Linked DNA regions of Xenopus tropicalis. The protein of the gene in region 1 purifies or fractionates together with the protein of each later gene. This does not show direct contact. Links are inferred from orthologs where the notes say so. Each region holds a gene or a part of one and is shown on either strand. Other genes may lie near its edges.

Region 1 (4,546 bases):
CTTTGCGACAAAAAGCAGGACAATTTGTGTGACAAAATCATATTTGTTGTGCCGAGTACTAAAGTTTCAGATTCATTCAAGCTTTGGTATCATGACTTTCCTTTGGCCAGGTTGGAGCTGCAGAGTGCCATTGAGTCCTATGGGAGGCTTCCAAAATCATGCACAGGAGGATCAAAGTCAGAAAAATTTTCCCGCCGTTTACGATCGTTCGGATACAAAAATTTATAGACTTTTGGATCGCCAATACGATATTATCGTGACTAATATGTTTTTTTCATAAGCATTTTCGTGATATTTCCAATCATCAGAAATTATCGTATCTAATCCGAATTTTACCCATTTCGGAATTTGAACTCGTACTTTGATGAATCAACCCCTATGAGTAATAAAATCTTTAACTTGGTGACACCAGAAATTAACCTTTTTTTTTACATCCATTAACTTTGCATGCTATTAATAATTTTGCCTTAAATGTATTTGCCCAATGTTTGTATATTGCCTATCTGATCCCCCATGTTCCTCTAAGAGGGGGCTGCCATATTTGTGCAGCACAAGTCCGTTAGCATTAGAAGCTGTAACTGAACATGTAACATAAGAAAATAAAATGTAGTAGAATTTTTGGTATGGGTAAAAAAACATCCGATCCCCAGTATTTAAACACCTCAGTGGCAATTGTGTTCACCTATGGATATCAGCTAGCCTGTTATCCATCCCCACTAACCGCGATTAGAAACAATGTAGAGTACATAGTGGGAATACTAGACCCTGATTATAAGATGAACTTTGGACTCAGGAACTTGAAACTTAGGCACTTACTAATTTTCAAGAATGACCCAGTATCCCTAGCAATAACAAAATAAAGACTTGTGGTCCACTAGAGATCACCGGAGGAACCTAAAAGTACAACATGTGAATATACAATATATAGTACAATATGTGAATGCCTGACACCCTCAAAGATACTAAATGTAAAGATTTAGCATCCTTTGAATCCTGGAGAAATTCCCATTAGACATGGGCTATCCATTTTATACAAGAGTCTTTAGGCTTGTAAAAACCTACCTCACATGTATGTATATGGAAATCAAAATTAAAGTCAATTTTTTAAAACAAAGGGGAACTACTGCTCCAGCACGCGACTGCGCATGCACGCCAAAGCACACGCGTTAGGGGGCGGGGCGATGCGGCCGACCGGGTTAGGTTGGCCCCCCCCTGTCCGTAGTCTTTGTGAAAACCACAATTTTTTTGTGGGAACTTACCGAAAACCACAAAAAAATTTATATAATTTTAATGAACTTTTCGCAGACATTTTAAAACGTTCTAGAAGTTAGAAAACAATTGGAAAAAATACAAATTTATCTCTAAAATGTTTAGTAAACGGCCCCTAGGTTTATATACAAATTTTATATTGTGTTATAAAACAGCTTACGAACCACTAGTTTTTATTTTCTTTTAGCTGATTAAGAGGACTTAACACCTACATTAATTTCTTTTTGGTTAACAAGTTTTTTTTAGTTCTCCGGCACATGTCGGAACCCCGAGAAGAAAATATTGCACAAAAGAAAGATCTTTCTTTCTAACAGAAGAACGTTACGGAAAAACATCGAGAGCAGACCCACGCAAGTTCCCACTGTGTAAAACTGAGTTACGCCGACTAGTTCCTCCCACAAAGGTGCTGCGTAATGCGTCACAGCGCTTACGTGCAGTCGTGACGTTAGTCTCGCGTGAGGATACGTGGCGTTGTATTTTTTGTGAAACCAGGATCCTGCTACAAGCGTGCAGTTAACAGCTTTTCGAGAGGTGTAAGTAGCGATCCGGGACTACGGGCTGTTTTAGGAAAGGCTGTACTATTGTGCAATATGCACTTACTTGGGTGACCGGGCCCATTTTTGTCTGGGAACTGCAAATTTCGAAAGAGATGGCGGGAGCTTGGGTTCCTGCATATTCTTTTACCTAAACAGCTTTCCGTACTTCTTGTTTAGTCACTGAACTTTAAGTCCCGCCAAAGCCGATGGTAAAGATCTTTCCGAAGTCTGCAGCTCCCTGACAGCAGGGGGCCGGTATCTAAGTAAGAGCAGTAGTACAGCTTGCCCCTCTTACCCAAAACCCACCTGGCCCGGGAGGACTCCCCTGGCAGCTCTGGTTACTTTCTCCCTCTTTGAAGAACAATGACATTTTTAGATGTATAGATCTTGGAGATAAATTAGATTTTCAAATAGTTTTATGTCCCGTATAACCTATTTATGTTAATGGAGATTAGTCACAAAAGGTAGTGTCATCCCACTAATAAAGATAAAAAAAATCTTAACCAGACTATTTAATATGGACGCTTGCATCCTTTCTGATGTTTGCAAGCTTTTATGAGAATTGCTTATGAGAAGACAGAGTCCATATACCCCATTGTGCCCTGAAATTGACCACTGCTAATGCTGGCTGGTGTGCAGATGCAGGCTGGCCACAGTCCCCACAACCCTGCAATCTTTATTATTGGCTTGGTTGATTACTAGTACATTGGTTCAAACAAAAAACGGCCAGCGTCTGTATGCATAATGGTAGTATTGAGGAAATTTACAAATGTAAATCAGACTCCAGGCCTTAGGCCATAGGAAGTTTTCTTGCAGTCTATTGGTGATTGTTTGCAATGCATAATTATGGTGTAAACTTAATACTCAATAGCTCTACCTATTTCTGAAGATGCTTTGTTTAAATGGGGAATTTTATTTTGTACTTTTGGGAAGTTAAGTGATACTGACACCAACAAATTACTCTTCAAAATATTAATGTACATTAAAACTTACCCATAGGTCATGTTGATTGTTTTTCACTGATACGGCTGCTTTTGTAAGTAATTGTTACTGAAAATTCCTAAACTTGACTGTTGTGCCAAGCTGACTGTCCCTTCCCAACCTGTCAGTTATAGCTTTAATGCTAACGGGCTATTGCTGCACAAATATGGAAGCCCCCTCATAGAGGAGCATGGGGGATCAGATAGGTAATGTAAAAGAACTGCCCAATAATTATATGTAGCATATAAAGATGGTGTTATGATAGATGTGAAAAATGGTTTCATTTCTGGTGTAAGTATCACTTTAGAGATGGACCTCTAGGCAATTTCATTTTCTGTTTTTTTTTTTTTTTTTTTTTTTTTTAATTCCAGTCTGTTGAAATCCCTAATCAAAAAGCTTGTAACTTAAATGTTATTCATATTTTTCAATTGGAATGCTGTTATATGCGCACAGGTCAAATTTGTAAAGCCATGGACATATGAAGATGAAAGACATGTTGACAATCACCCATCAAGCGAGTGCTTGCAATTGCCATTTAAGTAAATTGGAGCATTTTCCTGCCCTCTAGGTCACTAGGTTACTAAATGCAATGGGGTAAAATCATTTGACCTTTAAGGGCTCTGGCACACGAGGAGATTTGTCGCCTGCATTTTATTCCCCCTGGCGCTTTGGCGACAAGTCGCCACGACAATACCCACGAAGAGATTTCATGCGAATTGAGCTCCAGGCGATCTGCTACCCATAGTACACTCAACAGTTAACCCCCCCTCTCATTTTTACTCAATTCGCTCAGAAAAGGGTCTGTGTGCGATTTGAAACAGCAGGCGATTTGAAGTAGCCTCGTATGTTTTGAGGCTGGCGATTTCCATTGATTTAGCATTGGCGTCTTGTCGCCAAATCGCTTTTTTAAAAATCGCCGGCGACAAATCTCCTCGTGTGCCAGAGCCCTAAAGGGCAATGTTTCTGTTGACATTAGTTTTTTGGTAAGTTGCGCACCCCTTGGTTTTATTAACTCTCTTTAGATTTGTAGTAAGACATTGGTTAATTTGATTTGTAGCAGCTTCTCCTGTTTTTGGTTGGTTGGGTTTTGTCAGTCTTCCACATTTTTGGCCTCAGATGCCAGTCTAATTGACAGCACAAGTATTTTCTATATTACATTGCTGCAAAGTCATACAGGTATTAATGCAGTAGGGTTATTAGCTAGGTTATGTTGTATTGATTTCATTGTTCACCTTTTTTTACCTGGAAAGACATAATACATTTTTAGGGTTCAAAAAAGGGACATTACATTAGTTCAGCCTGTACATTTTGGTATATTATATTTTTATTTAAATTTTTTTAACTTGTATTAAGCTGGCCATACACGCACCGATAATATCGTACGAAACCTCGTTTCGTACGATATTCGGTGCGTGTATGGCAAGTCGGCGAGTCGACCGATATCGCAGGAACCTGCTGATATCGGTCGACTCACCGATCGGACCAGTTAAAAGATTTTGATCGGGCGCCATAGAAGGCGCCTGACCAAAATATGCCCTCAGCGCTGAATCGACAGAAGGAGGTAGAAATCCTATTGTTTCTACCTCTTTATCTGCTGTTTCAGCCCTGAATGGTTTGTGGCTGATTGTAAGATCGCAAATCGCCACGTGTGTCGCCACCTTTAGTCTGTGACATTTTAGTTGTGACAATTTTCAGCTTTTTGATGGCTGTATGATAAAAATAAGACTCTAAATTGAAGCTAGTTTGTTTATCATATTTCA
Region 2 (4,285 bases), on another chromosome or scaffold:
ATCATTGTACCCTGTAGCCTTCAGTTTTGCCTTCCCTGTAACTAAGAACCATAGCCAAAGCCATTTCCCTTCTCCACCAAACTTTACTCTCATTATTACACATTCAAGTAAACCCACACTCGACTGTCCAGATGGTGAAGCACAATACATCACTCCACAGCATGGGTTAGCACTGATCTGAGTCTGCTGATTCCAATGGCAGCAGCCTTAAAGCCATTCCAGCAAGATCTTGGGATAGTAACAGCGATGTTGGACTTTTGTGCAGCTGCTCCTGATGAACAGTTATTACACTGACATTTCTTCTAGGGACTGTAGTGAGTGCTCTAACTTACAATTTTAGGAGTGTCCAGATACTTCTGGCTATGTAGTATACTCTTATGATATTGCTGAGCAAAGTGAAGTCTATGTAACTTTATAACATGGGTACCAGGAAAGTTTCCCTTAGTCATAGCCAGAAAATATATATTTCTGGTACAAGGTAAAAAAAAAAAGGTACGCTGTGAATTATTGCTCCTTTTCAATCTCAGATGTACACTGGGACCGAACAATTCTGCCAGAAGGCTGTTTCAAAACAAGCTGTGCTTGTTTTACATAAACAGTATAATTTACAAAGATAGAGTAGTAGTGTAATGTAAAGGGAATGTTTTAAAAAGCAAACTTCTGAATTAAAAAAAAAAGTCCACTGCTATTTTTTATACCATCACCTATATGCCAGTTACCTTATCTGCGATTAGGTGCATTTGTTTGGGACAAAAAATAAATGAATAAAAAGCTATTAAAAATGTAAGTGCAGCAAACTACAAATCAAATAAATCACAACCATTTTTTTTACAGGACAGAACCCCAGCAAAAAAGAAAAAAAAATCCAGGGGTGTCTGATTTACAAGTATAGTACAAAAGAAGTTTGCAAAGAGAATTTGTGCTGTAAAAGTTGCAACCTTTGAAACTGAACTTGTTCTGGTGTGATGTGTCCTAACACTTGAGTTCACTATAGCATTCACTAGAATCCCCATATAGGTAATGAAACCATACTAATACCCTTTACTCTCTCCCTTTAAAATGAAGCAGATTTGAATAAAAGCCATGGGAGATATTTAAGGGGTGTCTGTCACTGAGCTGTAAATTGACAGTTTTCAAAACATGATACTTAATTTTTAATCTGGGTGTAAAGTCAATGTTCTGCCATATTTAAGCAAAGGAAAGTGGCTTTTTCTAATTATAAAAGAGCCCTGCAACTTCAGAAGCAACAAAAAAACCATAGCTCAAATGCACAAGAAAAGGCAGCCAAAGTGATACTTTGTTGAACTGTAAAATGAGACAACATACAAAAGGTTGGAGAAAAAGAAACAGGCAGCATAAAATTTATTATACAGATACAATATGACACCAAGTCAATGTAAAGCTAAGAGAGTTGCTGTAAAATCGAGATACACATAACAAACGAACAAAGTCAAAATGACTAGTGAGGCCTATGGCAAACTACGGCAAAAAGTGAACTAAAAATGTTACCATATGATCCTAAAAACTGTACTGCAACAGGAAGAAGGCCACAGATTGGCCATCCCTGATGCTATGGTTAGTTTTAAAGGCTGGCATGCATAGAAACAGCTTAAATGTAGTGTATAGAGGTGTGCAACATGCCCTGGGTGAAGGGTGAGTAGAACCTCATGGGTATGTGGACATTAGATCACAAGAACTGACCTGGAACATCACTGGAAGACAGGGAAGGAGAAGACATCTTGGGCTTCTTGGCCGAAGGGGGCCCAGGATCCACTAAATTTTCAGCCATTGTTGCCAATTGTAGTGATTCAGTTAGCCGATCCAACCCTCACTATTCTGCGTGCAGTCACTAAAAGGCCAGGGGTGCCAGGAGGTGAGCCCTCCCTGCCCCTACCAATGCACTCACTAGACACCCAATGTAGGTAGGCGATCTCCTTCCTCGCTGCTTCAGGTGCTTACGTTCTCCTCTCTCACACAAAAACTGTCCACAACATTCAGGACGCCAACTTCGGCCAAATATCTGGGCCTCTTCTGACCCATCGTCGTCCCCCTACCCCCAATAGTGGGGGGCGATGGGTGAAATTGGAGGAATAGCCCAGGGAGCAGCTTCCCACCACTAAGGAGGCCCTGTGTCTTAAATGGGCTGAAACGAGAGAAGTCAAAGCTGCGAGTAAAGGTGCTGAGAGTGACTAGGGAATAGCGTTCCAGGCGGCTCAGCAGCACTTCCTCGGGCTCTTGCCTTGCTCAGAGGGCGGCATCGCTGCGACTGTATGTGCCGGTGTCACGGCTTTAAACTCAGCCGCTCAAAGGCCGCATCCCCGCCCCCTTTGGGAACGCTTTGGGGGTAGGCGAGCCCTGAAGTACCGGCCCGGGCCCACTGCAAGATCCCGCGGCCTGTCTCACTATAATTGCTTGAATCCCTTCCCCCGCGGCCTCTCCCGCAGTCTCTCAGGAGGGAGGGTCTCCTGCTCGGAACACTCGGCTCAAGGTAGATCGGGGTAACACAGGTGAAGCCGCCGCTTGATGCCGTGAGGCCTAGCTTAACCGGAAATCCTCGTCCCACAGTAGCCGGTGTTACCGCCTTGTCTCTCGGGGGAGCTGAGGGGTCGCAGTAGCCCTAGACTGGTTTAGAAAGAAGACACGGAGACACCGGCCCCAAGGTGTATCTGTTTCCAGAGATGATTCACGGGAAGGCTTGTCTTTGTATCCAGCCTTCCTTCTCCTCCGGTAGCCCTGCGGTTTGTGCTGGACTCCGGCCGGGGCTCCGTCCCTCACACACAAACAAAATGGCGGCTGTTGTTTCTTCACTCGGCCGAGGGAAGCTTCAGTAGCAGCAGCCGGAAACGACGCAAAGCTTCTAGAGGGGGCGGTTCACCTCAAAGGGGAGGTGCACTGATTGACGGGCGGAGCTCCTAAAGACGCCTTTCCATTGGTTACCGCGCACAATGAAATTGAACGATTCAGAAGCAGCGGGTGGGCGGTACAGAGTGGAAGTGCCCTGCTATTGGCTGGCTTTGCTTCCACCGTCTCGTTGCGTCATGTAGGTTTTTTTTTTCCTTAAAGGCAAGTGAGCGGGCAAAGGGGGAATGTTTCCTTCTTCCTCACCCTCCCCCATCAGTTTGGTCATTTTCTGTCGGCGAACAAGTTTGACTAATAAGTAAAAGACGAGAATGTAAGCCATCGTGCCAAACAGGGCAAACAAAGCCTAATAGGCCTTTGTCAGCTCAATATTCGTCCCAACCATTAGCTGGGGTAAAGGGGGAGTCACGTATGGTTAGCAAGGAAGCCAATTCGTGTGTACCATAGAGCATCGACTGCAGGGAACTTACTGGATGTAAATCTGTGAATCATGGTATATGTTGCGATTAGTCCACCTGCGGCTGTTACACCGCGACTCCCAGTGCCATAAGTTCCACAGACATTCACAACTTGGAACACACAATCCGTGCAGGGGAGAGGCCGCGATAACGGGGGTTTAATAAGAGCCACGTAGTCTCCATCTCTGGTCTGGGGCAGCTGTCCGCGCAATGGATTTACCAGATAAAGCGAGTTTAAACGTAGTTTGGCTAAATGGGTCCGTATGACTCGCTGTAATGCAATCTCCAGCCATGGGGTCCCGGTGCGCGGTGCTGTACGTTCAGCAATGCCCGGCCACACCAAAGCGGCTCAGTATAGGGTTGGGCAGAGATGGCATTTTCGGGGACATTAGGCATGTCGAACCTCCAGGTGTACAATTGCACCTCCTAACTTCCCAGCAATACGTTAACACAACATCATTTGTGTCAGAAATAAATGAAGTAGCACGATTTGCTACAATCTATCCATGTACTTTTCTCAGTTTCTCTGGGTAACATGCTTACTCATAAGATACTTATATCTTACTCATAAGATTCTCATACTCACACAATGCTGGTGGGCTGAATGATGGATCATCTTGATTTATATAATACCTGACAAAGGGGACCAAGCTTCCCTTTATTGGCCAGGGCCCTCACCTCTATCCTAGGCAGGGTTGCTACCTGGCCAGCAACAGCAATGCTTGATGTCAAAGTTAATAGTTAAAAAAAAGTCAAAAACGTAGGGAGGCCAGTATTTTTTTCCAGAAAAGTTGGCAACCCTGGATGATTAGAACCCCCATTTTACTGGGACCCCATAGAAGTGTAAAATTTGGGGCCCAATGTGCTATAACATAATGTATTACAGGGATCCCCAACCTTTTTTTTACCCTTGAGCCACACTCAAATGTAAAAAGAGTTGGGAAACAATACAAGCATTAAAAAATGTC

Evidence for each region.
Region 2: the proteins of nfya (region 1) and ep300 purify together in Homo sapiens (affinity purification with western blotting, with the first as the bait; 3 studies listed by BioGRID). This does not show direct contact. The link is inferred for Xenopus tropicalis from reciprocal best matches to the Homo sapiens genes NFYA and EP300.

What each region holds. Positions count from the first base shown.
Region 1 is NC_030678.2:71,402,094-71,406,639, reverse strand, and holds the start of nfya (nuclear transcription factor Y subunit alpha), read left to right. Parts: upstream 1-1,734; 5' UTR 1,735-1,802; intron 1,803-4,546. UniProt on the Homo sapiens protein: Component of the sequence-specific heterotrimeric transcription factor (NF-Y) which specifically recognizes a 5'-CCAAT-3' box motif found in the promoters of its target genes.
Region 2 is NC_030680.2:115,938,606-115,942,890, forward strand, and holds the start of ep300 (histone acetyltransferase p300), read right to left. Parts: upstream 2,936-4,285; 5' UTR 1,790-2,935; coding exon 1,702-1,789; intron 1-1,701. UniProt on the Homo sapiens protein: Functions as a histone acetyltransferase and regulates transcription via chromatin remodeling. Acetylates all four core histones in nucleosomes. Histone acetylation gives an epigenetic tag for transcriptional activation.